Linked DNA regions of Saccharomyces cerevisiae S288C. The gene in region 1 interacts genetically with each later gene. Each region holds a gene or a part of one and is shown on either strand. Other genes may lie near its edges. The genes, in order: AGE2, VMA21 and GCS1.

Region 1 (11,014 bases):
ACAAGGCTATTGTATTGCACTAAACGGGCAAGAAGCCATGATGTGCGTCTGTATCCCAAAAAAAAAACTAATGGATTGGCGCGTGTACTATATATATTCATATGTCGTGTGTTTGTATATGTGTGGGAGTGATTGTGCGTGTATATGTGTGTTGGCGTGTGTGGTACAATGTGTGTGTTTTAATGTAGAAATGAGGTTGTAGCACGTGATCGGGAAGCCACAGTTTGCGCGGAGATATTTTATTTTTTTTCATCAGCGTAAGAAGAAAGCAACCTTGCAGTCTGTATCGTAAGAGAAGACTGCAGTTAAAGAAGTTTAGAGAAGAGGCTTGAGTATCGGTAAAGGGGTGTGTGTTTGGTGATTTATAAAGGAGAAGGGCATGAGGAGAGAGAGGCAAAGGATGATGAGTTTCGAGGACAAGGACAAGGACGACCTTGACAATAGTAATAGTAATAACAGCAGTGAAATGACAGATACGGCGATGATGCCACCATTAAAGAGATTGCTTATTACGGGCAGTAGCGATGATTTGGCACAAGGATCATCGGGTAAGAAGAAGATGACGATGGCGACGAGGTCGCCATCGTCATCACCCGATTTGGCGACAAACGACAGCGGCACTAGGGTACAGCCATTGCCAGAATATAACTTCACCAAGTTCTGCTATCGGCATAACCCGGACATTCAGTTCTCACCAACTCATACAGCGTGCTACAAGCAGGATTTGAAACGAACGCAAGAGATTAATGCTAATATCGCGAAGCTACCCCTGCAGGAGCAATCCGACATCCACCACATTATCTCGAAGTACAGCAATTCCAATGACAAGATACGGAAGCTGATTCTGGATGGGATCCTATCGACGAGTTGCTTCCCACAGCTTTCCTACATTTCGTCACTCGTTACACACATGATCAAGATCGACTTCATCAGCATTCTGCCGCAGGAGCTGTCGCTGAAGATCTTGAGTTATCTGGATTGCCAATCTCTTTGCAACGCCACGAGAGTGTGCCGCAAGTGGCAGAAGCTCGCGGATGACGACAGGGTATGGTACCACATGTGCGAGCAGCACATAGACAGGAAATGTCCCAACTGTGGCTGGGGGCTGCCTCTTTTGCACATGAAACGTGCGCGGATACAACAGAATAGTACAGGATCTAGCAGCAACGCAGATATCCAGACGCAAACTACGCGACCTTGGAAAGTCATCTACAGAGAACGGTTCAAAGTGGAGTCAAACTGGAGAAAGGGCCACTGCAGGATTCAGGAATTCAAGGGCCACATGGATGGTGTGTTAACGCTCCAGTTTAACTACAGGCTTTTGTTCACAGGCTCGTACGACTCCACCATAGGTATATGGGACTTATTCACGGGGAAGCTAATACGAAGGCTCAGCGGCCATTCGGACGGCGTCAAGACATTATATTTTGACGATAGAAAGCTGATTACGGGCTCGCTCGACAAGACGATCCGTGTTTGGAACTACATAACCGGTGAATGCATTTCCACGTATCGAGGCCACTCGGATAGCGTTCTGAGCGTAGATTCATACCAGAAGGTTATCGTTTCCGGCAGTGCTGACAAGACGGTCAAGGTATGGCACGTGGAGTCCAGGACATGCTACACCTTGAGAGGCCACACGGAATGGGTTAATTGCGTCAAATTGCATCCGAAAAGCTTTTCATGTTTTAGTTGCAGTGACGATACCACAATCCGAATGTGGGATATCAGGACCAATTCATGCCTAAAAGTGTTCAGGGGTCATGTAGGGCAGGTGCAAAAGATCATACCGCTTACCATTAAGGATGTAGAGAATCTAGCCACCGACAACACTTCTGATGGCAGCTCTCCGCAGGATGACCCAACAATGACTGATGGTGCAGACGAATCAGACACACCGTCGAACGAGCAAGAAACTGTCTTAGATGAAAACATACCTTATCCAACACATCTACTATCTTGCGGACTGGATAACACAATCAAACTATGGGACGTCAAAACCGGTAAATGCATAAGAACACAGTTTGGGCACGTGGAAGGTGTTTGGGACATCGCCGCTGACAACTTCAGAATTATAAGTGGTTCTCACGACGGAAGCATTAAGGTCTGGGACTTGCAAAGCGGGAAGTGTATGCACACGTTCAACGGTCGAAGACTACAAAGAGAAACTCAGCACACACAAACACAATCCTTGGGTGATAAAGTCGCCCCTATCGCTTGTGTTTGTATTGGAGATTCAGAATGCTTTAGTGGTGATGAATTTGGGTGCGTAAAAATGTACAAATTCGATCTCAATGATTAGGACCTGTGTGTGGTCTTTTCTTGGTCAAAAACATCCGTAGTACCTCGAATATATATGCTTACATATATAATGAAAAATACATAATAGCATTTTACATTTATTTTATTTCCAGGAAAAAAATAAATCGCTAGCGTATCACTAGCCTTTTCCATCTTCAGTTTTTTTCCTTCCTCTTTTTCGTCTCGATAAAACTCTTGACCATTAGATGCTATTACTCCCCCACGGAGCCCTTCCCACGCTAAGGGGGATGTCAAGGGGGGGACTGAAGATAAAGCTTATTATATTGACGGCGATGATGAAGAGGGCGTACGCATAAAATGTCGTACAAGATCCATAATCTGCAATATTGTTCCCTCAACAGTACTAATAAATCCAAAGGGCGAAGGTACTTTATTATATAAACGCGCACGGCCATTGTATATAAAGGCGATTACATAATAGAATACTTATCGATTCCGTAATCCTTGAAATATAGAATATACATAAAATAGACAAGAACCCAACAGTTGAGGCGCCAGCTTTGGTAATAGCTTAATAATAAATAAAAAAAGATAATATAGCTAGCTAGTATTATTGCTTTTATCCGTATGGCCACCACCACGCAACCACAAAATATACTGATGGATGAACCTTTAAATCTTCCTAATAACAGTGCCCACAACAATAACTATGGAAACATAAATGCGAATATAAGAACTTTTGCTGGTATGAGCATGCACATGCACCCTGCCAGGCTGAACTCTCTGGAGTTTTTGCACAAGCCCAGGAGACTATCTAATGTAAAACTGCACAGATTACCTCAGGACGAGCTTCAAAGAAATACGGACATGAATAAGGGAATGTATTTTAATGGGAAACAAGTTCATGCCCATCACCCGTTTATAAATTCTGGAGCGAACTTTAACGCACATCATCAAGACGTCAGTAAATTAGGCGAGGAGGAAGACGAAATCTCTCCTCTATCACATGATAATTTCCAGTATGAATCCGAGGAAAATGGTAATCCTTCACCTCCCATTTACAAGAAATCTGGAGAACTGGTTAAGAGTTCATTAAAAAGAAGATCCAAGTCCCTACCCATTACTCCCAAATCTATATTCAACAAAACTGGCTCTAAGAGTAAACATGTCAATTTAGATCATGTAGATACTAGGCTATTGCAAAGAAGTAAAAGTGTCCATTTCGATCGTGTTTTACCAATAAAGCTGTTCAATGAAAATGAGAAACCCATAGATGTTGGCAAACAAATGGTTCAACAAGATGTTCTGAATTTCAAGCATAAGCCTTTGACGAGACTAAGTGCCCTTAATGGCGGTAGTGATAGCGTACCTATAGAAGATTTACTATCTGAAAACAACCAAAACGAATATGGAGATACATGGCTACAAAACCCGAAGGGTGTATTCCTATTTGGTACAAATTCTAATAATCGTAGAAATAAAAAAAAGAAGTTTAAACTAAGTGACGATGACAGTGATATTGAAAATGACAATGATAGTGACGACGCTATAAACCGTTTAGTAAGGCAACAAGACAAAGACCAAGCTCATCTTGCGCACGGGTTGAAGAATTTGTTAATAAACGATGACGACGATTATTTAGAAACAAGAACAAATTCTGCTAAATCAGGAGCCAACTTGTTTATTGGAAACTCTAAAAGAATTGTTGGTCTTTACAACAAGAACTTTCCAATATTAAGTGACAGGAACCGTAAGAGTTTAAAACTTAACATATTTCTGAATCTTTCCCGTGGAAGGCCCGTTTTTTTGCAAGAAATTACGCTACTAACTGGCTTCCACAACATGGTTATAATTGGCAAAGTCTTTGTGAAAAACATATACTTTGATAAGAAGATTATCGTAAGATATACATGGGATGCATGGAGAACTTTTCATGAATCAGAATGCGTGTATTTTTCTAATGCCAATGGCATCTTACCAGGAAGCAATATGGATATTTTTAAGTTCTCCATTGATGATATACACAATCCAAATGATAAAGATAGCAATATATCACAATTGGAGTTTTGTATTCAATACTTAACTTGGGGCGTTGATCGTTCTAGGAAGGAATATTGGGACAATAATGATTCGGCAAACTATAAAATTGACGTGGTAACGAATGAAACGAGGACAGGGCCCACAACAGACGTCAATGATAACTACGAGATGAAACATAGTCTTTTCAGAAACCCATTCCATTAAAGAAAAAAACAAAAACTAATAGTATTGTTTTACATATACAAAAGAAAAAAAAAAGATAAGAATACGTACTTTCTATTTTTATTTGAAGGTCATTTTCTTTATATAAAATAATATACTGGAATGATGTTCTTTTTGTTGCTTTCTATATTTGCTTTCTTTTTTTACTTTTTATTCAACTCCAGACGTTCTTAAATAACTCGTTATCATCCAATGAAATGTTAGAACTGGAATTTGAATTCATACTATTATTATTTGTAGCGGTAATTCCAGTGTTCACGAATGGTGACGGAGTATTACAAGGCTGAGGTGTCGTGGAAGTGAAAAATGAGTTCTGGCTTTGAGTCTGGGCAGAAGGTTTTGAGTATAAAGATAAAATGGATTTTTTCAAATCGTTCCTTTGCCCAAATTCACCGACTCTGTTGCCAGTCTTGGTATTAGCAGCACCTATGCTTGTTGCAGAACTAGTTACACTTGTATTAGATGTAGTCTTAGAAAGCGATGAAACCTGTAGGTTTAATAAGCTCGTATTACTCCTTGAGGTGCTTAATAAGTGGGAAGGTGGTTGTGTTTGCGTCTTTTGTAATGAATTTGAGCTCTGGTCCAATCTTGCATTCGAAGCAGGCAACGAATGATTCGCAGACGGCTTATGCAGAACTGGTTCAGTAGAATCATTTAACCCTTCAATACTGGAGAGGTCACCAATCCACTTCTTATATTCATATTTATTCTTGATGAAATTTTGTAAACTGCTCGTATCAGTGATTTTCCTCTGTTTCAATTCATCAGCCAAAGTAGCTTCGTAGTATGAGTTAGCTCTTAAATTGTTTTTGAACTGTATCAGTTTCACCAAATGTTCTTCCTTCCATGTATCCAGATCAACAGATTTCACTTTCGAAATGTGCGTTCCCAATGATCTATGTATACCAGCACATTTAATGCAAATGAAAACACCAAGTGACCAGGAAGCCCAGCGTGGATGTAGTTGCGCCTTACAGTCGGCACAATGACTGTTTCCTGGATCGCGTAAAAGAGCACTTAATGCCTTCTTGACTGGGACTGACGTCGACATCGCTTGTAAATTGCCCCACGTTCTATGCTCCTTTGTACAGTTGAAGCAAGTATTACCTTTACTTTTGTTACTATTAGTACCGATCTTATACGTATTATCGAGTCGAAAATCGTCCAGCACGAAATATGGAAACGGTGCGTTTAGGTGACTAAACTAAATAGCGTATATATTATATATGTTCCAATCTATATATATATATATGGCACTCTGTTACAGTTCCTTATCTTAAAACACAAACACCTGGTCTTCCATCTTGGAAAGCGGTTTGGAACGTCTGAACCCCAAGTCCACGGTACTTCTTCTAACTGAGGCAACCATGGCTGGAGGACCACAGATCAAAATTTGAACGTTGTCCATTGTAGCAGCGGGCAAGTGTTCCTTGATGACATCCTTGGTAATGTATCCTACACCACCAGTCCAGTCTTCACGGTCAGGAGAGTCTAAGTAGTAAACTATCTTAAATTGGGAAGGCTTCATGGCCACCAACGCTTCCAGTTCCTTCTTCAACAGAATATCCTCCTCATGGACGTTCCCAAAGACTAGAGAGACCTTGGTAGTGTCGTGAGGGTCCATGGCAATAGCTTTCATGATCTGATACATGGGCGCAATACCAGTACCACCAGCAATCATCCCTAGATGGGAACGGCAGTTTCTCTCATAATGATAGTTCCCACGAGGGCCCTTGATCTGGATCGAGTCACCTATCTTCAACTCTCCAATCATCTTAGAAACGTTACCTGTGGGGTAAGACTTCACTAGTAATTCAAAGTTTCCCTTTGTATCTCCATCCAACGATGTGGGCGTATACGATCTGGTAATATCCTTACCATTGATATTGGCCTTAATTACGATATGCTGACCAATTGGTAAACCGAGTACGTCGTCAGCATGAGGTAGCCCGAACTTGTACATCGAAGTATTATGCGTTAAGATGGTTTTTTCAACCAGCGGAAATGATTGGAAGTCATTCCTTTTGGGATCCAGCACAGGCTTGGTCTTCGGTCCGATAATGAACTTGAAGAGCAAAGGCACGACCACGATCACGATGACCACCACAAGCTTTTGAGCATCAATAGCCATCTTCGATTGCTTAATTGATTGAGTCTCTTGTTGAAGAGCCAGTTGAATGCATACTTTCAACACTTTTTTTTCTCGTTCATTTTTTCGCCTTATATAATAAGAATATTTATACATATGTAGATAATTTAAAGAAGTAGAAAGAGCCCTTAATGGTACCGCTTTACGAGGAAATTTAGCACTGTTACTTTTTGGAGAGTAGTGCAGTCTTAGAAGGGCCTTTGAGCTTGATGTACACGTCCGTGCCCCAGCCAAGTAAACTTTGAACGTCAATCTTGCCCCCAAACAGTTCTAGGTACGTCTTGCACATTGGTAGACCAAAGCCCATGCCGGAGACGTTGTTGATTTGCTCGCCGGGCAGATCTGTAGACTCAGAGTCAGCTGATTGTTGGGTATGTGTAGAGTAAGAGTAGTTGAACATGAGGGCCTCTACCTCGGGCGTGATCCCACCACCATGGTCCCGTATCCGTAAGTACAGCTCGTCATCGTCTGGCTTTAAAAGATTGATCTCTATGGGCATATGTTCCTTTCCAAGAGCTATCTGAGCTTCAAAAGCGTTCTTGAATACCTCTGTCATAATATACTCCAGAATGGGCGGAATGCACGTGAATGTGATGTCTTGTGATGGCGGGTGAATTAGGACCGGGGTCCGCTGAGTGTTGAACTTCACAAAGCATATATCATTGACATAATCAGAAACGTGCTTGATCAATTGTGCTATGGGGAGGTCCCGGTGCAAGATTCCAATCATCCTTTTGTTCGTGTCACCTTTGTTCTGTGCCATCAACGACAAATAGTGCGTCACAAGCAGCTTCATCGTGATTCTCTCCTTCAGGTGGAAGTTCAAGAACTGCGAAATTTGAAACTTTGGGTAACACGATTGGATTTCCTGAAGACCTTTTGCCAATACCACAATGGCGTCCTCGTGGTCGTCCAGCAGTTCTGTGAACTTGGCCTGTATCTTGGGAGGATTGTGCAACTCGTACGGGTATGCGATTGATAGCAACGTTTGCAAGCTTTTCAAATACAAAGAGTTGGTTCTCTCAATATGAGGGTTGATTACCGCATTATACGGTAGCCTCTGAATGGCATTAAGCCGTTTACACGTCAATGAAAGCAACAGGTTGATTGTCTTGATCGTCAGCATGTACTCCTCCTTCTTGGTCAGCGGCGGCCTGTATTGCAGGAAATACTCGTAGTTTAGGGGCGCAATTGGTTTACTAGCGTAGTCCTGTATCAGCAGCTCAATGTTCGACCTAATCTTGTAATGCTGGTCGAACGACAGTTGCGACAGCAGCTCGTGTGAGGGTCGCTGGCGATGTGCCCAGCGCATTCCCCCACATTTCCATGAACGCATAATCTTCCACATACTACCGTGAAGGCGTCTTGATACCACGTCTTCCAGTTATGGTCTTGACTCACCAATGTTCTCAGTTTAATGTTGTTTGCTTCATACTGGCAGACATTTTCCCTTATTACCGTGAGAAGCGAGCGGTGGATTAATCGGGATGTCAAAAACAAGAAAATTGCAACCTTCTTCACCTATAACCTATATGATTTGTAGGCAGAGGAGTGGAATAAGCAACAAATCATAGTCATCAATGTCGTTTAATGCCTTCGCCAGCTCTTTGAGCAAGAAATTACAGGAAATATCCACAAGTGTTTCCGAAAAAACCCAGGAATTGCCCAGTTTGGCGCAATCCACCCAAAGAATGGTCCAGGAACGTTTGGGCCAGGTGACGGACATCTCCCAATTGCCAAGAGAGTACACAGAGCTGGAAGATAAGGTTGACACCATCAAACTGATTTACAACCACTTCTTGGGTGTAACTGCTATCTACGAAAACGGATCGTACGATTACCCTAAATACATCAACGAATCCGTCAACGAGTTTTCAAGAAGCGTGGCTTCCAAGTTGACAGAGTTGACTCATGCTACATCTGCGTCTGAGGCACAAAACATCTTAGTTGCTCCAGGCCCCATCAAAGAACCCAAGACGTTGAACTACGCCCTCAGTAAAGTGGCTTTGAACTCCAGTGAATGTTTGAACAAGATGTTCCCCACCGAGGAACAACCCTTGGCTTCGGCACTCTTGCAATTCAGTGATGTGCAGGCTAAGATTGCTCAAGCTAGAATTCAACAAGATACCTTGATTCAAACCAAATTCAATAAAAATTTGAGGGAAAGGCTCTCTTTTGAGATCGGTAAGGCCGATAAGTGCCGCAAGGATGTCCATTCCATGAGATTAAGATATGACGTGGCAAGAACTAACTTGGCAAACAACAAGAAGCCAGAAAAGGAAGCTTCCTTGAGAGTCCAAATGGAGACTTTGGAAGACCAGTTTGCTCAAGTCACTGAAGACGCTACTGTGTGCTTGCAGGAGGTTATTTCTCACGCTAACTTCAGTGAAGATTTGAAGGAATTGGCCAAGGCTCAAGCTGAGTATTTTGAAACCTCGGCTGGCCTAATGAAAGAGTTCCTATCCAACTCATTTGCGGAAGAGCCGGAAGCAAAGCCTGAGGTTGCAGAAGAAGAAAAGCCACAGACAGCTATCTCTATGAATGACGAAGACGACGCTTAATAGCCGCCCTGTTCTTGTCTTTCTCTCTCCTTCTCTATATATATATATTTACTTAATACAATATCATATTCTCTAGTGTCGTACGAATATTATCATTTATTTGCTGGCTTTTGTAGTGAGTATATTTTTTGTAGAGAAAATATAATTACTGGAAGAGAAAAAGCTACTGAAAAAAATTTCGTAACAGTCACCAAAGGGCAAAGTGAGCAACCCAAAAATGGACGCTACTCAACCGCAATACGAACTATCCGTAGTAACACAATGCCTAAAGTCTGCCATTGACGTCATCCAATGGTTGATTCCTACTATTACTAAGTTCAGCCAATCACACCCGTTAGTTTTCCAACTATTGTTTATTTTCTTCACATTTTATGTCTTTTACAAGTTGTTGATGAACTTCATTACTCTGGTCAAAAGATTCCTGTATTTGACGTTGGTAGTAACATGTATCGGTATTTATATGCGTGGTTCGCAGCAGTTTTTGACTGTGGACCTGTTGAATTTCTACAATTTCGTCATGTCAAATAGATACTACGCATTTAAAATTTATACTCTGTTTATTAATGCCCTGGAAAGAGAAATCAACACTGTTTATCATTTGGCGCAGATGAAAATGGAACAGTTGCTTAAATAGAGCGAAACGCCTCTGCTTACTCGGAACATCTTAAAGTAATTACATATCTTAATTTCTAAATATTCATATAGATAAAGAACGTTTTTTTTGCTAGATTCCTCCCCTAGTCACTATCAAATATTGAGCTATTTTTGGTGACTTGTGTTTTCCAAATTATTCATTACAATTGTGACTTGATTTCTGAAGTTTTAAGAAAAATTGCAAACTAAGTTATTACAAGCGATTTATCCGGTCGCGATTGAAGAACTGAAAACAACAGCAGCAGCATTGTACCAAGAATCCCAAGATGCTCAGGTGTGCGGTCAAGAAGTTTGCATATTTTGCCACCTTCCTCACTATCGTCGCTAATATTTACATCTATACTTATCCATCTTTCCATCCAGAACAGTGTTCATGGAACTGCTCTAACAAGAACGCACCACTACAGAAAGATTTGACTTTTGTGGACAAAGTGAAGAATTACTTCAGTGATGTTCGAGAGCAATGGCATGGTAGCCATGCCTCTGCAGGTAACGATGAGGATATTCATATTTTGGCCTTCGGTGATCCTCAGATTAAAGGCATCTGGCCAAAGACGCCATATGTGTCCCGATTAGATACATACGGTAATGACTACTATCTTGGTCACATCTATGATATGATGCAGCAGAGACTGAAGCCTCAGGTGGTGACTGTTATGGGTGATCTTTTCTCCAGTCAATGGATCGGTGATTCCGAATTCCATAATAGAACGAAAAGGTATATTAGCAGAATTTTCAAAAGAGACCCAACTTCTATTGAAAATATCAAACAACAGAACCTCGATGAGAAAGGTCAATATAAGGCGAATTGGCCTGAATGGGGAGACCGTTTTAATGAGATTTTAGACAATGTCAAGGAAAACGAGGCTGATAATCAAGAACTTTCTTTTGGGTTTGGTTATGAAAATATCCACTCATGGAATCCAGACTTGGAAGACTTTTTAATCATCAACATCACAGGTAATCATGATGTAGGTTACTCAGGCGACGCGACTTATCAACATATGACAAGGTTCCACGACCTTTTCGGTAAGGACAACTATTGGATTGAATACGAAACCAACACTACCCATCCTTGGAGAATTGTAGTGTTGAATGATCTTTTACTAGAAGGTCCCGCTTTACA
Region 2 (10,351 bases), on another chromosome or scaffold:
TTTAAAATCAATATACCGAATGTCAAATTCGAAAGCAATAGCGATGATAAAATCATTGATTTCCAATCTTTAAAAAATCCATCCATATGCAATACCCAAACTGATGTGGGTAAGGATAAGATTACTGAGGTCTCGGGTCATGTTCAAAGCCTTACATTGGACTGCAGTGATAGCGATGATGAAGATGAGAACGATGAGCGGGAGATTGTTAAACGAATTGTATTTTTAAAAGATTTAATGAAAGAATACGAAAAAACTGGGGAATCTCGAAAAGCTCCATTGATACCACTTCTGAAGCAAACAGTGAAATTGATACGGCAAAAGGCGGATTTTCAGTTAGAGGTTGGCTATTATGCACAAGGTATTCTGTCAAGCATTGTGTGCTTGAATAATGAATTTGATGAACCGCTTTTCGAGCAGTGGAGAATAAACGCTCTAACAAGCATACTGGTCGTCCTTCCAGAGAAGGTGAATGGCGCTATAAATATTCTATTCAATTCAGAACTGTCGTTACAGCAAAGGATGTCACTATTGTCGGCTCTGGGTCTTTCTGCAAGAGAGTTGAGAGGGCTTGATGATCCTACTATTGTCAAGCCCAAGTTTGATTTTCCAACAAATCGTTTACCGTGGGATGATCAAAGCCATCATAATAGTAGGCTTGTTGAAGTTCAAGAGTCAACAAGTATGATAAAGAAGACGAAAACAGTATGGAAATCTAGAAAACTAGGCAAGGATCGAGAAAAAGGAACGCAAAACCGCTTTAGAAAATATGCTGGTCTATTCTTCTATCCGCTAGCACACGGTTGGCTTAATGGAATTGACGTAGGCACATACAATCAGCTTTTTAAGTCGCATTATTTAACAACACTGCGTATCATATACTCTTGCGCTAACCCGGTCCACGATTTTGAATCCATGACGGAGTTGATGAATCATATAATTAGTTCAGCCATAGAGGAAGGAATTTCTCTCAATAAAGGTTAGTAGCATAGTTATTTGTACCAATCTTATGATACATATTTGAATAAATTTAGTGCGTTCTCTGTCAGCGTCGTTAGTATTTAATGCACAGCATATTATTTCAGAAGGTCGGCCGACTCCTGCAACTGGGAAAAAGAACTTCAATAAGAAAAGGCCTGAACAAATCTGCTTGGTAAGGGCCCAACAACATTTAAGAAATTGTACATTTTGAAAGCACTGATCCATCAATTAAAGCACCGAACAACCTCAGAGTTGATACAATTATTAGTTAAAGGATAGGATATGTCATTTTTTGATTCTTTACGTCAAAAGGCACCCTTTTTGGATAAACTGGCAGACAGTTTCACTCCAACATTAACCAGAGATGAGAAATTCAGATTAAAATATAAACTTCCAGCTAATGAAAACATTTTGGAAGATACGAATGCAGAAGTTTCATTTGCAACTTCCATTAAAGATGGAAAAGGGCATTCTGATAGAGTGAACAATAAAGGGAGAAAAACTGCTTATGTGTATTCCGGGAGATTGTTTTTAACACCTCATTTTCTGGTATTTCGAGATGCATTTGATCATTCATCGTGCGTACTAATACTGAATATTTCTACCATTAAACGTGTAGAGAGGTCGCCATCCGAATCATATGAATTTGCTCTTCTAGTAACTTTGTACACAGGAGCAAAGGTTCTGATTCAATTTATCGGTATACGTTATAGATCGGAGCAGTTTTGTGACAAATTGAAACTAAATTTGAAAGAAAATATTCCTAATGCCAAAACTTTACCTGCTTTTCTAGAAACCTCATATTCGGAGTTCTTAATTGCTAAAAATATTCTAGGTAAAAAGGACATAACTGTACCCAGGGCAGGTCTAGGACAACATTTCAAGTATCCCGGTAATCCTACTATGGTAAAAGAAAAGGCTAAATTGAGGCTATGGTTCGATTATTTCAGAGAGAATGGAAGGAATTTGGCAGTTGTGCAAACTCCTATGTTCCGAAAGTTAATCAGAATCGGTGTTCCAAATCGAATGAGAGGTGAAATTTGGGAACTATGTTCAGGTGCAATGTATATGCGTTATGCAAATTCTGGGGAGTACGAAAGGATATTAAACGAGAATGCTGGTAAAACATCGCAAGCTATCGACGAAATTGAGAAGGATTTGAAGAGATCGCTGCCCGAATACTCAGCATACCAGACTGAAGAAGGTATTCAAAGGTTGAGAAATGTTCTGACAGCTTATTCGTGGAAGAACCCTGATGTTGGATATTGCCAGGCCATGAATATAGTTGTTGCAGGATTTTTAATCTTTATGTCTGAAGAGCAGGCTTTTTGGTGCTTGTGTAATCTATGTGACATCTATGTTCCAGGTTATTACTCAAAGACGATGTACGGTACATTGTTAGACCAACGAGTGTTCGAGTCTTTTGTAGAGGACAGAATGCCGGTTCTTTGGGAATACATTTTACAGCATGATATTCAACTATCTGTGGTGTCTTTACCTTGGTTTTTGTCTTTGTTTTTCACTTCAATGCCTCTAGAATATGCTGTTAGAATAATGGATATTTTTTTTATGAACGGTTCTATTACTCTATTTCAGGTGGCATTAGCAGTTCTGAAGATAAATGCAGATGATATCTTACAAGCCGATGATGATGGAATGTTCATTGCCATAATTAAGCACTATTTCCAAACTCTGGGACAAAGTGCTCACCCAGATTCAAGCGATATAAAATATAGACAAATCACGAAATTTCAAGAGCTGTTAGTTACGGCTTTCAAAGAGTTTAGTGTCATCAGCGAGGAAATGGCAATGCATGCAAGACACAAATATGAGAAAGGTATTTTTCAAAACATTGAGACTTTCATGAAAAGAACGCAACTGCGCCATATGCCAAAAACTTTCAACCTGTCCAGTGATGACTTGTCCAATATCTATGACATGTTTTACCAAAGTATAGAAACCTACAAAATTAGTATGGGAACGGGATCATCTAATATGGGTTTCGAAGTATTCATTCAGTTCTTGAGTAAATTCTGTGACTCCTGTAGACCGTGTGAAAAGGACAAAGATCCAGCTTTCCGGAAACAAAAAAGGAATTTTCTGCAAAGGTTATTTGATAACTGGGATTCTGCTCATATCGGCGAGTTGACATTGAACGATGTGGTAACAGGCTTGGATAAACTGGTAACTGTTGATCTTTTACAAGCTATAAACTATTTTTTCTCTTTATATGATACAGATGGCGATGGTGAATTGCATAGAGAAGAAGTGCTACAGTTGTCGGAAGGGCTGCTACTGCTAACGGAACCTTGGAAGAGCGGTAGATATGTAGATCTGTTAACTAAAAAGCGCATTGAAGATGATATTGCTGAAAACATCATCAAGGAAAGCGGTGGAGAGATAGCCACTATGAACCAAATCGAGTTACCAACTGGGGTTACTATTGATGAGGAAAAATATAAAGTTGAACAAGCAGAAAGATACCTAAAAGCTGCAAGCAATTTCCTACAAAGATCTTTTGAATATGCTAAAGCAGTTGATCTCGCGGAGGAGGTAAACTTGATTGACTTGTCTGATGATGAAGGCGAAGAAAAGCGAACGGTAAAACAAAAACAACTGGAAAGCATAAAGGCAAATGCAGCCCTAGATCCCACCCATCCAAAAGTAATAGATTTGCCAACATTTAGAATGATCATCCTCGCAGATGAAACTTACGAGCTTTTCTTTTCTAATACTTTACGATCATCTGTTCACGTCGACGAACATGTCAACATTGATAACAAAAATAAAGTCCTCAGAAGTATGTTTGACGGTATATTGGCAGACGGCAAAAGAGTTGCTGAGCAAGTTCGTCGTCGTGTCGATTCGGTGGCAACTAGGAGCAGCATTGCTTCTGTAGAGAGTACGCCAACAGCCGCTGCAAGTTCAATAACTACCAAAGAAGAAAAGTACGATGATCTAGATGATTTCACGTCAGAGCATCAACCCGAGAATGAAGAGTTATTACAAAGTTCCTGGTTTGAGATCGACGATGCCAATGAAACTAGCACTAAAGCCATACAAGAAAGGTCTTTTGAGCCTTTGTCGGCAAATTCCTCGGAAGAGAAGTCCAACCTTATTGAATTTGAAGCATGAAATCGTGCTTATCAATTTTATGTCACCCTAAAACATCTGTACGTGTTTATATAGATATTTAAAGCAATATTTGCCAGGATTTGGTGAAGATCCCTCATATAACTCTCATAAATGCGGATTTTCGGAGCGAAAAAAGCCTAAATTCTTGTCTGGAAGTATAATTGGCGGTGAAATAGAAAAGGTGGCAATCACGACTGAAAAGGGTACAGCTTTCGCAACTGACATATACAGACAGTGAAAAGTAATAAATTGCCCAAGTGTGAACATGTCAGGTGTAAGCTCTGTTATGCTCGGTCTTCGACCTGCTACAAGAATTTTTTTCCGCAGTAATATTTCGGTTTCACCTTCGAGGACTTTTGTATCATATATTGGAAGATCCCAGAGCACGTCGATACTCAAAAATGCTCCCAACTTAGAGGACAATGTCACAAATCTTCAGAAAATTATACCGAAACGGTTCTTTTCTCAAACATCAATTTTGAAATCAAGGTGGAAGCCTATATTCAATGAAGAAACTACTAATCGATACGTACGTTTGAACAGGTTTCAGCAGTACCAGCAGCAGAGAAGCGGCGGCAATCCTCTGGGCTCTATGACTATTTTGGGGCTCTCTTTAATGGCAGGAATATATTTTGGCTCCCCTTATTTGTTCGAGCACGTTCCACCCTTTACGTATTTTAAGACGCATCCAAAGAATCTGGTATACGCGTTATTAGGCATCAATGTTGCCGTATTTGGACTATGGCAGCTACCCAAATGCTGGAGGTTTCTACAGAAGTACATGTTGCTGCAAAAGGATTACGTAACTAGCAAAATTTCGATAATCGGAAGTGCGTTTTCACATCAAGAATTCTGGCACTTAGGTATGAACATGCTAGCGTTGTGGTCCTTTGGTACTTCACTCGCAACAATGTTGGGAGCATCCAATTTTTTCTCCTTATATATGAATAGTGCCATTGCAGGTTCTTTGTTTTCGTTATGGTATCCAAAACTGGCACGCCTAGCCATTGTCGGACCTAGCTTGGGTGCCAGTGGAGCGCTATTTGGGGTTTTAGGATGTTTTTCATATCTATTCCCACACGCTAAAATTTTGCTGTTTGTTTTCCCAGTCCCAGGTGGGGCTTGGGTAGCATTCTTGGCTTCAGTGGCATGGAATGCAGCTGGTTGTGCTTTAAGATGGGGGTCATTTGATTACGCTGCGCATTTAGGTGGCTCTATGATGGGGGTCTTGTACGGATGGTATATAAGTAAAGCTGTAGAGAAACAAAGGCAGCGTCGCCTTCAGGCTGCTGGTAGGTGGTTTTAATCACTTAAAAAAAGACACATTCTCATTCGAAATATTGTAAATACTGCTATGTCTTCTATGTACTTAATCTTATTTATGCATTTGAAAAATATTTCAGCCTTATCGTGGTGGTACATGTACAAGAAAATTCATAGGCAAAAGAATATATAGAATAGAGCGTATGTGTTACTTTTCTAAGTCTTACTTCCTGTTTTTGAGTAGTCCCTCTTTGACAACAAAATATGCATTTTTGGATTCCGCGGCAAGTCCAGTTGCTTTCCAAGATCCGCTAACTTCTCCTAGCTCAGCATCCTGCTTTTGGTGGCTGATGCCTTCAAGTAGCTTTGTGTAGTTCAGCTGTTTCGTATTTCTTTGCACCAACCGAGCATCATATTCCTTGGTGTGCTTTTCACCTTCGACAGGTATGTTATGGAGTTTGTTGATGAATGATAATTGCTTGGCAAGTCGCATTTGAATTTCTTTAATATCTGCTCCTTCCAAGGGAAGACCTGATAACCGCAACAATTTTTTTACAGCTTCAGCAGACGGTGGCTCTAGTTTTTCCTCTTTAGTGTTTATGCCTAAATATTCGTGGACGGACCATACAGGTCTTGATAAATAATCCCTTATTTGATTCATATTTTCAAATTTTTTACCAATCTTTGCCCCTCCCGTAGATACGAACCGATGACTTCCATCATGGCATAACCCACCCACTGTATGTGTTCTGCATAGACGCCATGTTTTGTACATCGTTCTAGCACTATGGGTAAGTGCAAATAGTTCGATCTAAAAGCCTAAATGCTAGTCACTATTACCTCCTTGATGTTATATTTACAGAATAATGTCATGTCGTCTGTGGTGACTATTATTATTGCCTGAAAAAATTAAAGAAAATTTTTTGCGATGAGATGAGATGAGAAAAAATGAAAAATTTTGGAAGGTTAATTAGAGATGTGTAGTAAATCCTGCTGGTGGAATACATTTTATTCCTGTAGAAAATAGTATAGTAACAGCGGTATCCTACTTATACAATGAGAATCAAGAAGAAAAACACCAGAGGTAACGCAAGAAACTTTATTACCAGATCTCAAGCTGTGAGAAAATTACAGGTTTCTCTTGCTGATTTCAGAAGATTATGTATATTCAAAGGTATCTATCCTAGAGAGCCAAGAAATAAAAAGAAGGCAAACAAGGGCTCTACTGCACCAACTACTTTTTACTATGCTAAGGATATTCAATATCTAATGCATGAGCCCGTTTTGGCTAAATTTAGAGAACACAAGACTTTTGCTAGGAAACTAACAAGGGCTTTGGGTAGGGGAGAAGTCTCTTCTGCTAAAAGGTTAGAGGAAAACAGAGATAGTTATACTTTAGACCATATTATCAAGGAGCGTTATCCAAGTTTCCCAGATGCTATAAGGGATATTGATGATGCTTTGAATATGTTATTTCTTTTCTCTAATTTGCCCTCTACCAACCAGGTTTCCTCGAAAATTATCAATGATGCTCAGAAAATCTGTAATCAATGGTTAGCCTATGTTGCCAAGGAACGCTTGGTTCGTAAAGTGTTTGTATCCATTAAAGGTGTTTATTATCAAGCCAATATTAAGGGTGAAGAAGTTAGATGGTTAGTTCCATTCAAGTTTCCAGAAAACATCCCCAGTGACGTTGATTTCAGAATTATGTTGACCTTCTTAGAATTCTACTCGACTCTATTGCATTTCGTCCTATATAAGTTATACACCGATAGTGGGTTGATTTATCCGCCAAAATTGGATCTTAAAAAGGATAAAATCATAAGTGGTTTGTCATCATATATTCTAGAATCCAGACAAGAAGACAGCCTACTAAAACTTGACCCAACTGAGATTGAGGAAGACGTAAAAGTTGAAAGTTTGGACGCATCGACATTAAAGTCTGCCTTGAATGCCGATGAGGCAAATACTGATGAAACAGAAAAGGAGGAAGAACAAGAAAAGAAACAAGAAAAGGAACAAGAAAAGGAACAAAATGAGGAAACGGAACTAGATACTTTCGAGGATAACAATAAGAACAAGGGTGACATCTTAATACAGCCAAGTAAGTACGATTCTCCTGTTGCTTCTTTGTTTTCTGCATTTGTTTTTTACGTTAGCAGAGAAGTTCCGATCGATATTCTTGAGTTCTTGATCTTATCTTGTGGTGGTAATGTCATCAGTGAAGCTGCTATGGACCAAATTGAAAATAAGAAGGATATTGACATGTCCAAGGTCACTCATCAAATTGTTGACAGGCCAGTTTTGAAAAACAAGGTAGCTGGCAGAACGTATATTCAGCCACAGTGGATATTTGATTGTATCAATAAAGGCGAATTGGTACCTGCCAACAAATATCTTCCAGGGGAGGCTCTTCCACCTCACTTAAGCCCATGGGGTGATGCTATTGGTTACGATCCAACTGCTCCTGTCGAAGAAGGCGAAGAAGAAGAAAGTGAAAGTGAAAGTGAAAGTGAAGATCAAGTTGAGGAGGAAGATCAAGAAGTTGTTGCTGGAGAAGAAGATGATGACGATGACGAAGAGCTACAAGCTCAAAAAGAGCTTGAATTGGAAGCACAAGGTATCAAATATTCTGAAACTTCAGAAGCTGATAAGGATGTCAATAAGTCAAAGAACAAAAAGAGAAAGGTGGATGAAGAAGAAGAAGAAAAGAAATTGAAAATGATAATGATGAGTAACAAACAAAAGAAACTTTACAAAAAAATGAAGTATTCTAATGCTAAAAAGGAGGAACAAGCTGAGAACTTAAAAAAGAAAAAGAAGCAAATTGCCAAACAAAAAGCTAAACTGAATAAACTAGATTCCAAGAAATAGTTTTCTCTTCTTTTCCAATAGCCTCTCAAAAATTTTGTCTTTTAATTTAACATCTTTATTACTTTATAATTCCTCGGTATAGCAACATTAGATATATAACTACACATTTTTGTTTGTAGATATAGAAATACCTGTACATTAAAAGTGGTTACTGTTGTTCTGTATAACTATATGAGTGAATTTTGTAAAAATATGCCCAGGTGCCAATGATTATATTAGAATATTTCCATGTGCTACCCTCGAGTCCATTGACTGTCTATCGGGTACACTTAACTCTATATAGCCTTGTAGTTCCTTTTTTAAGTTCATCAAGGCAGTCTCTGTATAGTTTATACGATCGATATCGGTCCCCCTACTAACATTGATGTATGCTTTTAAAAGGAACCCTCCGCTTGTTATTTGTGAATTGCCTGCTTCTTCTATTTGCCAAATTTTTTGTAACTCAAGTATTAAACCATGCTTCATAAAAAATTTCACACCAATTGTAAGATACTGAAATTCGAATACATAACCCAATCCGTTCATGAGCGAGGATACTGAAGAGTTTTTGCCAGCTGAAGATAATATGATAGTCTCAGCTATCGTTTGCATTGAAACACTTCTATTGTTTCCTGCAGCAGGAATATCTGAAATTTGCAATGACCAAGGGGAACATGACTCGTTTGAAGGGGCGGGACTTGCATCCATGTCGACATCTATGATGTCATCGCTGTTTCGACTTTCATTTACAGTATCTTCTGTATGCTTACTGTTGTTTTGATCTTCGTTTGTGCTGTTGAAGTTGGTGACTTGCGGAACTGTGTTGTGCAAGATATTCCGTGTCATAGCATAGTTAAGCGGGATTTTATCGTTTGTAAAAGATTTCAAGATTCTAAAGTTTAATGGCTTATCCATCATTGTTTCATCGATCAGGTAAGAAAATGGCACCTCTTTGGAAAGTTTTATTCTATTTGGTTCAACCAATTGGTTTCTAGAGTTCACGTTCTCGACGTCGTAAGATGGATTTGGTTTCCAGACAGTGCATAAACTGTTATACAGTAGCGGAGGATTACCTGATATTGTGGTCAAAGTTGAAATTAGTAAATCGTAGCCGTCATCACCAATAGATCCAAAAAGGCTTAGTTGCTGAACCATCTTTTCTTCTTAATATGGAATACCTTGGCTGGAAAATTCAATTTTCTACCTTTTTTTTTATTTTGGTTGTTTGTCTTCGATATTTGATAATTTTCTAGGTTATTTTATTTTTTTCAAATAAAAGAAAGGCAAAAGAGCTCTCACTATATATTACTAACCTGCAAGCTAAAATGAACGCAATACTGGAAAGCAATAGTAGAAACTAACCAAGACTTCAAAAGAATCAAATAATGGCTGTAGATGTTCCTCGTGCGGTGATTAATAAACTTATGCTGTTTACTGCAGCGATGGTGGTACTGCCCGTACTCACTTTTTTCATTATTCAGCAATTTACGCCAAATACCTTAATTAGTGGAGGTTTAGCTGCTGCAATGGCCAATGTTGTTCTAATCGTTTACATTGTTGTAGCGTTCCGCGAGGATACTGAAGATCACAAAGTTGATGGTAATAAAAAGGAAGACTGATTGAGTAGTATATGTTGCTAGAAGAGAATATACAAGAAAAATAGTAGAGGCTAAATAAAAAAAAAGTAGCATTAAATGTTATGGATGATTGGGATATATATGCAAATAACCCAATCTTACATATGTTTCTTTCAAATATATGAGTATATATAACGATTAATTGTTTTTTTTTATTGGGTTTGTTGATTTTTCCAACGCACCATATGTGATATCCAAATTAGATATCCAAGAAAGTGCAACAATCAAAATGAACAATAGCAACGCAGAAACTATTAAACACATTAGTAGTCCTTCAGTCCAGATGGAGCTTAAAATATCATCGTCGCCTTCTTTACCCTTGTTGTTATCATGATGGCTCAAAGTCTCTTCTGTTGCATATTCATCGTCACCATCTTCATCTTCAAAAGCCCAACCAAGAGAGTTAATAACCACAGTCAAATTGTCGCCAGATTTATCTTCCAAAAACGATAAGCAAGAATCAATAAATTCATCTAATTTTT
Region 3 (11,176 bases), on another chromosome or scaffold:
TGATTGCTGCTTATGAGGATATGGATTTAGAGCTAATAGTTGTAATAGAAATAAAAGCCATTTAGAATAGGAATTGAATACAATTTTATGAGCTTTAAATATTTAATGATGAATAGTGCGTTTAGAACGCTTCATCATGCTTCAACAAGCTTCTGCAAACCTCATTTGAGTAGCAATAGCTGTTTACTTTTTTCCGCGACTTTATTCGAAGTTATGGTGAACTTTTCGTGGTTTCACACCTAATAACGCCCAGCGGTAGTACAATTCAAAGTAGTAGGTACCAATGGTAGTACTAGTGGGTGATAGTAGCAAATTTCTCTATGAAAATGAATTGTTGCTCTGCAATGATGTTAATGTGGACATGACATGAATTTTCGCGATATGTTGATGTAAATAATAACATGATTTTCGTGGATCATTTCGTAAACCATAGGTTTATTTCGTGAATTACTAAGAGAAAGGCATAGAAACAGGACTTGCGAACCCTTTCTGTAATATGTCATAATATTTCAATACACGCACAAAAAAGGTACGTTAATTTCCATGGTAATCGTGTATTTAGTTACATCACTTTTCGTGACACACATGAATACATTTGCCCTTAAGCCCTGTGTAGGATTGATTTCTTTTTTCGTGACGCACATGTCTTCAACTGCATCAATTTCCATGAGACACACACGTCTACCATGTTGTCAGATCTCATGAATCTTTCATGTATTCATTCACATCATTTTCGTGGATCCTCTAATTGTATCGAGATCACTTTTCGTGATCCGCTAATCAGCGACGGTCACATTAGGTTTGCCAAGTCAGGGTATGAACCATACGATCAGTTTTCGTGAACCTGGTACGTATATTGTGGCGTTTGTGTATATTTTCATTCTTTGACAACAATCAATACCAACCTCAAATAGGAAAAGTAATAAGTTTGGCGTTACACCCCAAAAGACGCCAAACGGATCGAACTTACTCAATAGCAATTAGCGAGACAAAACCTACGTTAAGACCTGTAACCGATTTATCAAAGCACTCTGCGGTTCTTTCTTGGGAATATTACCTGGACATTTTGTGCCCTCAAGAAACGAGGCTCTACGAGCCTGTTGGAGCCCCTCAGACATTAGCCGCCACGAATCAAACTTTTTACGCGATTCGGCCCAAATCAGTTTCTCACAGATCATTCGTAGAGTGAAAAAGCACATCGATTATTTGATACCCCTTTGGGTTAATTACTGTTGAGGTCTTTTCTATTTCTGATTGAAATTTTTGCTCCAGCATTATAGCATGCTGGTTTTTTTTTTAAATTGATGTATCTCATCGCAGGCACGGGCAGTACAGTGCCCTGAGCGTAGGGAAAAATGAAAAAAAGGATGTAACTTTTAACATAATTCCAGCACGCAGCGATTGGGTATAATGAAGATTGTTAAGTTCAACAACATGTGAAATTCTTAGCTCCGCAACTTGCTTGAATTATGAGCTCTAAGATTCAAGAAGTAAATAGGTCATATAATGGAATGATAGTAGTACTTGATAAAGGAACCATGTGATCTTACGTTGATATGAAAATAATTCTCTCACAGAAGTCAGTTTGTATGACTAACATAGAGAGTAATTGCTTTTCGGATAAAATCGCACCTAACAAAGATTACCTTTTGTAAAGCCTCCAGAACAGCTATGAATGTTCGTTATTCTACGCACTTTCTTTCATACATCTTGATCCGCCTTTTTTGATGTAGGTTTTAACGCGGCAAAACATATTAATTTTTCTGATTTGGAAAAATAAAGAGTTAGTTCTGCCACGCCATTTTAAGTCCAAAGGCACAATTTTACGTTGGAACTAAACGGTAAAGATCAAATATCACCTTTATTCTTTTTTGGTATGCATCGATTTCTTTGCCAGTAAGAACTACGTGCAACTCTACATTAGATCAAAATATAACGGATCATAAATGCAAACAACATTTGTCCAAAAGAAACAAAAATGTTGGCGTTTGTCTCGAACATGACACAATACTCCTTGATCGAGGGACATTGCCCGATTAACTATGATTTATACTTTTTACTACAGGTACTCGTTCTCCCTACTATTTCACCAGTATACGGTCGTTTTATGATTCATTTATTGCCTATAATGGTAAAAAGGGACATCTTAACCTTACGTGTTGCAATGAGACCATTCTTTTCGATTCATCAACTGTGAAATTTCTGAAATCCAGTACAATGCGAAACGCTACCGATAATGGCACCGTCTTTTGAATTATGAGGCCCAGATATGGCGTTCAATCTTCAACAAAAAAATGAATATCAAAACTAAATTCTATCTGGATAACAATCTTTCTTTGGTTTGCAGAAATATCATTAAAAAACAATCCATAACTACTAAGGAAGGGTATAAATGGTTTGGTTTACTAATTTTATATTTTGATTTGATTAGCAATTATAATCTCTAATATACTATTTCTGTAGCCAAAAATCTGCAATGTCAATAAGTAGCAAGTGCCGCTTACTCGTGAGAATATCAACCTTATAGCATATGTTTTCTATTTTTTTTTTTTGCTTATGGAGATAATGAACATTGTACACATGAACAAAGTGGTAGTTCTCTCTCCTTGATTTTTTGTGCTTGCGATATATATAATTGTTACATTCAATGGCCATGCTAAATAAAGGTTTTAGCTTTGTTTCACTCGTGCCCAGGATAATTTTAAGGCGCAAACATCCAAATAATGAAGAAAAGGATAACGATTGTCCCAGGTCTAAAACATTTTTTAATAATAGCCGTCATTAGCCTTGCAACAGTACAACAACGCCGATGGGAAAGGATTGCAATTCTATTTGTAATTAATAGGTTGTATAATAATTTACGATATGGCCTTGTGGTAACTATTTATGAATACTGGTGTAGACTTATTTATAATCCTAGAGAGTAAACCTCTTCTTGTCAAGATATGAAAAATACAAATTTAGAGACAGAAGTATTACGTGTAAACTTTACAGAACCACTTCTCCATTATAGCTACAATGTGAATTGAACTTTCCTTGAATGTTGAGAAAAACTATATTAAAATTAGAAATCGTCCCATTTGTCCTCGTCCTGTTCATTCTTCTTATCGTTATTATCAATCTTTTGATATTCTGTATGGGTTGTATTCCCTGCTGTAGAGCTATCCTCTGCATTACCATTGAAATTTTTAGTGAAGTTACTAAATGCTTGGAATCCATAACTACTCGTTTCTTGAAACTTTTGGCCAAACTGGGCAGCTGCTCTCTTCGTTTCTTCTGACAACTCTCCGGATTGCCATTGCTGGACGTGAGGCTTAATAACCGTTTCGTTTACGTCCTCGAACGATTTGGTTACAGCGCTGGAGAAGAGGCCCCATCCTCTGCTCAATGTTCCCAAAGGATCAGCTTGAAAATTTTCCAGGCTCAAAGTATTGCTGGACCCTGCAGACCGTTCTTGTGGAGGTTTTGCGGGTGTACTTCCAAAGCCCTGATATTTACCACCTTGAGAAGGGGGCAAATGATCTGGTCTAGATTGGTTCTTCTTGCCCAGCTCAGCAAAATAAGCTTCGTTCTTCTCCTTTTGAAAATTGGCACCATTACTAGAGTTTGCTGGTGTTGCAGATCGACGGTTCTCCAGTGGTGTCCCTTCTCGACTTTGAGCAACACCAGGCGTAGCGGATGCAGCGGTTTGAGAGGTTGCTGATAACTTGGAAGCATCAAAATCCAAATGCTCACGCTCTTCAAATACTCTATCTTCGCAAAGACATGTTAACTTTTCTTTATAATCCTCTGCGACGGGGTTATCGTATTTCACTTTTTGTGGTAAACTCAGGTCAATATTATGCGACTTGAACCATTCAGTCAAAGGTTCGTTACCACCTTTTTCCATACGAAGAAGTTCCTCCGGTTTAAACTGATCCATAGTGATAGATCTTACAAAAGATATATGCACACCAAGCCCTCTATGGATACCGGCACATTCAAGGCAAATGAAAGCTCCAAACTTAGGCGTGGCCCATTGTGGATTTGGCGCACCACAATCCATACATTTCTTATTTGCACCAATCTTTTGCAATTGCAAAAGACGCCTGCGGGTATCTGGGTCCACTTTCCAATCTGACATGCTCTATAATCCGCGATAAAATTGCTCAATTGGCACCATTTAAACTCAGAATCACGTCCATATTTCTGCTTTCATTCTTGATATAGTTGTGCAATTTGGTTCTTGACAAAAACTGGCGTTGCTTGCGGGTAACCGCGCGATTTTTAAAGTGCCAAACTGCGAAAAGAATATAACAAGCTTTCGAGCAAGATCAATGTACCCAGCAAGTGAAATAATAAAACAAGAGCCCCAAAGATCTGCTTATAATTGCTAGAAAAATATATTATTAATCATGAGCACTGCTTCAACACCGCCAATTAACTTATTTCGTAGAAAGAAAGAACATAAACGTGGGATCACATACACAATGTTACTATGTGGGCCAGCAGGTACAGGAAAGACCGCCTTTGCTAACAATCTATTGGAAACTAAGATCTTTCCGCATAAGTATCAATACGGTAAATCAAATGCTAGTATTAGCTCTAACCCAGAAGTAAAAGTTATTGCTCCGACAAAAGTTGTTTCATTTAATTCGAAAAATGGGATTCCATCTTATGTTTCTGAATTCGATCCAATGAGAGCCAATTTGGAACCAGGTATTACCATCACCTCCACTTCATTAGAACTTGGGGGCAACAAAGATCAAGGAAAGCCAGAAATGAACGAGGATGATACCGTGTTTTTCAACTTGATTATGACGCATGGTATAGGCGAAAACTTGGACGATTCGTTGTGTTCTGAGGAAGTTATGTCGTATTTAGAACAACAATTTGACATTGTTTTAGCTGAGGAAACCAGAATTAAAAGGAATCCGAGGTTTGAGGACACCAGGGTTCACGTAGCATTATATTTTATTGAACCCACTGGACACGGTCTGAGAGAAGTCGATGTAGAGCTCATGAAAAGCATCTCCAAATACACAAATGTACTGCCAATAATAACAAGAGCTGACTCATTCACCAAGGAGGAGCTAACTCAATTCAGGAAAAATATTATGTTTGATGTGGAAAGATACAACGTCCCAATTTACAAATTTGAGGTTGACCCTGAAGATGATGATTTGGAATCCATGGAAGAGAATCAAGCCTTGGCATCCTTGCAACCATTTGCTATTATAACTTCAGATACCAGAGATAGTGAAGGTAGATACGTTAGGGAGTATCCGTGGGGGATAATATCAATCGACGACGACAAAATTTCGGATTTGAAAGTTTTAAAAAACGTCCTGTTTGGTTCTCACTTACAAGAATTCAAAGACACCACGCAAAATTTGCTTTACGAGAATTACCGTTCCGAAAAACTATCGTCCGTGGCCAACGCTGAAGAAATTGGTCCTAATTCTACAAAGAGACAGTCAAATGCTCCAAGTTTAAGCAACTTTGCCTCTTTGATAAGCACTGGTCAATTCAATTCTTCTCAAACTCTTGCAAACAATTTGAGAGCGGACACACCAAGAAACCAAGTAAGTGGAAACTTTAAGGAAAACGAATACGAAGACAATGGCGAACATGATTCAGCAGAAAATGAACAGGAAATGTCTCCCGTGAGACAGTTGGGTAGAGAAATAAAACAAGAAAATGAAAATTTGATAAGATCTATCAAAACAGAATCTTCACCAAAATTCTTGAACTCTCCGGACTTACCAGAGCGTACCAAGTTAAGAAATATTTCAGAAACCGTTCCATATGTCTTGAGACATGAAAGAATTTTAGCAAGACAACAAAAACTGGAAGAGTTAGAGGCCCAGTCAGCTAAAGAATTACAAAAAAGAATTCAAGAATTAGAAAGAAAAGCACACGAATTGAAATTGAGGGAAAAACTAATAAATCAGAATAAACTAAACGGTTCATCATCTTCAATCAATTCTCTACAACAGAGCACAAGGAGCCAAATTAAAAAAAATGACACGTATACTGATTTAGCCTCTATTGCATCGGGTAGAGATTGAGTTGTATCTGTACAAAATCCAAAGCTGAGCAAATAAATAAATAAATAAATGTATAAGTTACCGAACGGGGGTATTTTTACTTTTGATCAAAAATTTATGTACCAACTACAAAGTTTCCTCAGCACAGCCTTCAAGAAGGGAACACACATACAAACAGTGTCAAATAATTGTAGGGATAAATTTAAATATGGCATAAACTAAATAAGTAGAGCATGAAAAAACTGCAAAATCCAAAAAGTAAAAACGAAGGTCAGAAAGTAAAGCAAAAGAAAATTAATAAAGCAATACTAAATCTATCATGATTTCCCGTAACTTCCATTAAAGCTGTAACCAGATTTACTCCTACTGTTTGAGCCTCTAACGCCTAATGGATTTTTAGAGAAGCTCAACCTGATACCTCCTTTGTTGTTGAGGGAAGGGCGGGGGTGAGGTAGTTGACTACCATATAATTCTGCCAATGCTCTAGTGGCAAAGCTAACATCCTCAAATTCTACAAAACAAATTGGACCATGGCCATGACCGTTGCCATGACCGTGAGAGTTCATTTTATTCCTGAAGGATAATCTACGAAAACCTTGCTGATTAGAAAACAATTGCCTTAATTCTTGTTCCGTGGCATCCGGAGGTAGATTACCCACATAAAGAGTATTACAAGGAGGATTTTGGTCCGCGGGATTGGCTGGTGGTGGCACCTTGGCTAGTAGTGATAGGTCAGCCTGTGAAATAGTTGTGGAACCTGCCACATTTGTTTCGTTATTTTTCGAAAATGCAGAGGCAGAAGCTGTAGAAGAACATTCTTTCTGTCGTGATATTGTACTGGTGTCTTGTTCACTCACTAAAAAGCCTTGATTCACCTTTTGGTTGTTGAATATTGAAGACCCGTTAGGAGCAGAAGATTGTGGGTGGCCATTTTCCGTTTGGAGATTCAGGTCCAAATTGGAAGGAACATTCGAAACGCTCTGCTGAATACTTTGTGTCTTAGTTGAAGCATTAATTTGGTTCAATAAGTGATAATGCGGTAGAGAAGTCGCGGAATGTATTACTCCTGAATTGTTCAGATTAGGTTGTGATTGAATATGTGGAACATCCTGGCTAATTGAATGGTGGGATGGAGGCAACAGATTAGACTGATGATTTTCTTGGCTAGATAATTGAAAAAGAGGAATATTAGCAGTTGAGGAAGCATTCCACTCCATCACAGGCGTAGATGACATCGGAGGCTCTTGTAAAGATGCACCAAATGAAGAATTACCAACATCATTAACTAATTCATCACCATTCCAAATACTTTCATTTATTTCATCCTTTTCTAGTAGCAAAAGTGACTTGCCAGCGTCCTTCTGAGGTGGCATTCCTGCTGGAACTGGTGTGGTGGTTACGTTTGATAAATCATGTTGTGAGATGCTATTTCGTAGAAAGGGTACGGATTCTTTTCTTTGAGAGATTGTTTCCAATCCGAATGGGTCATTGAATGAGAAACGGAGGGATCTCTCTGAAAGTAATGAAGGCCTTGGCTTGGCCGCTGAAGGCCCTAATGGAGAGGAACTAGTTTTTCCATATGATATAGTATTAAAACTTTGATTTTGAATTTCATTTTGCGCACTGGACGACAATTGGTAATTCTTTGGAGAACTATTTGTAGTGCCAGATGAAACATGTTCTTGAAAACTCACTGGAAGCTGCGTTTGTTCATTTACTACGTCAATGTGAGACCTAAAGGGGAAACTAGGCCCAAAAATCTCAGACTTCGAGTTTAATATATTAGCATAATGGGTTACTAAAGAAAGGGATCCAAATTTGACCACAACGACTTTTTCATTGTCATTAAAGGGTTCTCTATCATCCCTTTTTAGTTCTATACTTGACACCCCAGTTGCTAGTGAAAATATACAATAACACTCTCTTAGTGTAATGTCTTTTGGCAAATTCCTCAGCAAAAGACAGTAGGGGCCAACATCCACATCATGTGGGGCTAAAGAATTGACGTCATTCCCGTTCCCTTTCCCCGTGGACATGGTCAAATTATGAAGCATAGAAGTCATAATAGGTTCTTTTGCAAAACCTTGCGGGTTCTCTCTTTTAATGTTAGTCTCGCTGTTGCTCCTAACTGCGGAAAAACTATATGCAGTTGGCATGGGATATGTTGCCTCCTTTGATAATGGAACGGTTTCTGAACTAGAACTAAATGCCCTTTCTATAAGAAATTTGGATTCGTTTAAATTCGTCTGATTATGCACTAATGACATTGTTAATTGAGAAACCTTAAGCGTTATTTTTCAGCGTAGATGTGGCAACTAAGGTTCCTGTTTTCAAAAACCCTGCTTTTTTGAAAAATGCTCGAAAAATAAAGAAAGAAGTCAGTCCCTTGTTTTAGCAAAGTGATAATTTGTGAAATATGACACAAGTAGAAGATAAACCTTTACACGCAGAAATAACAGCGGATTATATTTTGATTCTTAGATTTCCTAATTTCGTGAACTTTTAACTAAGAAGGAAAAAACAATTGAGATGAGATCCAAATGGGAGGAGTTTTGAAACAATTGTTTGCTATTATTTCAATGATTTAGTGTTGCCACCAGATGGGTCTATTTTCTGTAAAACTACCGGTTCGAGGCTCCTGCCGTAACCTTAATTGTACTTTTCTATGATTTAATCCAAATAACCATTCCATTCCTCTTTAAGTCTAAGAAACATTAAAAAACAAAAAACACCACGTCCGGGTAATGAAAATATAACGCTGGGTAATGCACGTGTTGATAATTACATCGTTTTTCACTAATATCGTACCAAACGAGATGTTTGCAGAAAGAACAAACCAATATTTTAAATAATCAAAAATCAAATTAGCTATTATTTCTCATTTGGTGATAATAATATATACATACATATATATATATATATATAAATATATAGGTATATATATAAATAACCTAAGACAAGTTAAATGAGTATAAAAAACCTTGAACGTAAATGAAAAAAAAAAAAATACTAGTAAATTGACAACATAAAAGACAAAAATAAATGAAAGAGGAAAGTGGTAATAAAGTGGTTAAAATTTGTTGTAGTTGTAGATAGGAGGAGTCCGCGTAGACAGTTATTCAAATTCAATTGAGGAAGAAAAATAGATTTCAAAGAATACTGGGAATTTGTTAATCGAGAAGTGTTTAAATTTCACTCCTAAATCCAAAAGTACCGCCAGAAATACTTTTTCTCACTCTACCCATGAAACTTTGTTTACCAGCCTGTTCCTCACCTTGCTCGTCGTCATGGTAATCTTGCTCACCCTCATCGGAACCGTACTGATGATGTCTTGGAGTGTGCTCGGCTGAATGAGTAGAATTATTATAGTCGTAGTCAGACCCTTTTGAAGAATTCTGTCTGCTGTGACGGTGATGATTGTGATGATGTTTTGATTTTCCGGAACCCATTGAACCCACCGACACTTTCCTTCCCTGAGAAGTTGTTTCATTATGAATTGAATAGGAAGTGGTTTCTGGGTAGGTGCCCTCAGATGGCTTTTGAGAACTAGAGGTGTTGGTGTCTTTAAATCCGTATGTTGGGACATGTGGGTCAATCAAACTAGGGAAATTACCAACTTCGGCAGCATAAGCGTTTGAGGCGTCGGCACCACCAAGGTCGGTTCTACGTTTGTTCTTCAAATCTACTTCACGCTTGTAGCCCGGTGCGTCTTCCTCTAAAACTTTCGCATTCTTATTGACATCAATATTATCGTCGCTAGAATATTCTTGATTTTGGGAATTGCCGCCAGAACCGTAACTGGCCTTTTGTTCTGATGATGGTTCCTGATCGTGAGTCATTCCAGTAATATCTTGTGATTTGGCATATGTAGGGTCCGCATTTTTAATATTATCGTAAGCAGCTGTTTCAGCATCCCCTGATTTGGAGTATGTAGTGTCTCCAGATCTGGAATTATCAAAGGCAGCAACATTAGCGTTTTCGAGATGAGTGTCTGTATTTTTACTATCATCAAAAGGGTTCGAGCTGAAGGTCTTGGATTTTGCACCCATCCTTCCGGTTGTATCTACGTTTCCAGTAGTACCTGTTTCCGGATTATTGGTGAAATCCTTGGCATCGGATGCAATATCCTGTGTTGTTTTTGCTCTTCTTGGCTCAATTTGGTCAATAAAATTAGAACGCGTTGGAGTTGGGCCTGATTTATTTTTGCTTAAATCAGATAATTTTTTGTTACCAGAAGTATTCGAGTATTCGTAATTGCCAAGACTCTCATCTCTTGCAGTCTCCATACCAGCACGGTTAGTGGTTTGCCTTGGAGACAACGGGTCTTCATCTTGTTTTTGCACTGATTTTGACAACGTATCAGGTTCAAAAGTACCTGGGATTTTCTCTCTCTGCTCATAATTGTAATCCGATGGTTTTCCCTGGTACGCTTTCTTAGAATACAAGTCGTTTTTCTTTGCATTTGAGTAGTCGTCAATATCATTCTCGTGGTAGTCTTCAACATCATCCAAATAATCCAACCCATATTGATGAGGTTTAGTAGAATCTTCATTCATATCTTCGTCCTTCATAGCAGGTGATACAACATTGTTTCGGGTGGTGGCATCATTAGAAAGCCCGGACCATTCTGCTTCATGACGGGGTGACATGTCAATATTGTTGTTCGTATTTTGAGAACCAGCTTGTGAACCGGCAACATATTGCAAGTTATCCCTACCATTATCATTATACTTCATATGTCCTAATTCGGTTCCCGCTTTAGGCATATTCTGAGATCCAGATGTACCGCTGTCGAATTTCTCCTTCATACTAGAAGGTATAACAACATCCTGCAGATTCTTATTTTTACCAGCGCTGGAACTATATTCAATTGGACCCCAATTAGAATCCGTCTTGGATTTAATGTTTTTCTGTTGATAATCATCGGCGGATTCCAGAATGTCATCTCTTTCAATGTTAAATTTTTCAGCCGCTCTTTCTGATATATTTTTATTATCAACCTTATTCTTTTCTGGGTGTTGAATGTTTTTATTGCTATCATGATAAGAAGGTTGCTGGCTTACAAAACCACTTGTCCCGACTGCTGCTTTGGGTTCAGGTTCCATAGTTTGCTGTTGGATTGCATCAGAACCAGAAACTTGGTCATT

The links.
Region 2: mutations in AGE2 (region 1) and VMA21 together harm fitness more than expected from each alone (negative genetic interaction), as found in Saccharomyces cerevisiae (3 studies listed by BioGRID, with this or other methods).
Region 3: mutations in AGE2 (region 1) and GCS1 are lethal when combined (synthetic lethality), as found in Saccharomyces cerevisiae (7 studies listed by BioGRID, with this or other methods).

The regions. Positions count from the first base shown.
Region 1 is NC_001141.2:268,272-279,285, forward strand, and holds AGE2 (GTPase-activating protein AGE2), read right to left. Parts: upstream 5,576-11,014; coding exon 4,679-5,575; downstream 1-4,678. Other genes in the region: YIL046W-A (uncharacterized protein), read left to right, coding at 38-202; ubiquitin-binding SDF ubiquitin ligase complex subunit MET30, read left to right, coding at 380-2,302; putative protein phosphatase regulator PIG2, read left to right, coding at 2,890-4,506; CBR1 (cytochrome-b5 reductase), read right to left, coding at 5,801-6,655; protein kinase PKP1, read right to left, coding at 6,837-8,021; GVP36 (Gvp36p), read left to right, coding at 8,254-9,234; APQ12 (Apq12p), read left to right, coding at 9,452-9,868; TED1 (Ted1p), read left to right, coding at 10,155-11,014. UniProt on the Saccharomyces cerevisiae protein: GTPase-activating protein for the ADP ribosylation factor family.
Region 2 is NC_001139.9:688,982-699,332, forward strand, and holds VMA21 (Vma21p), read left to right. Parts: upstream 1-9,617; coding exon 9,618-9,851; downstream 9,852-10,351. Other genes in the region: TEL2 (Tel2p), read left to right, coding at 1-984; GTPase-activating protein MDR1, read left to right, coding at 1,264-4,116; rhomboid protease PCP1, read left to right, coding at 4,382-5,422; GTF1 (glutamyl-tRNA(Gln) amidotransferase subunit F), read right to left, coding at 5,603-6,154; mRNA-binding ribosome synthesis protein NOP7, read left to right, coding at 6,436-8,253; SRB5 (Srb5p), read right to left, coding at 8,464-9,387; VOA1 (Voa1p), read right to left, coding at 10,008-10,351. UniProt on the Saccharomyces cerevisiae protein: Functions with VOA1 in assembly of the integral membrane sector (also called V0 sector) of the V-ATPase in the endoplasmic reticulum. Escorts the assembled V0 sector in COPII vesicles.
Region 3 is NC_001136.10:48,051-59,226, forward strand, and holds GCS1 (GTPase-activating protein GCS1), read right to left. Parts: upstream 4,124-11,176; coding exon 3,065-4,123; downstream 1-3,064. Other genes in the region: septin SHS1, read left to right, coding at 4,395-6,050; WHI4 (Whi4p), read right to left, coding at 6,347-8,296; HBT1 (Hbt1p), read right to left, coding at 9,215-11,176. UniProt on the Saccharomyces cerevisiae protein: GTPase-activating protein (GAP) for ARF1 and ARF2. Involved in intracellular vesicular transport. Required for transport from the trans-Golgi network.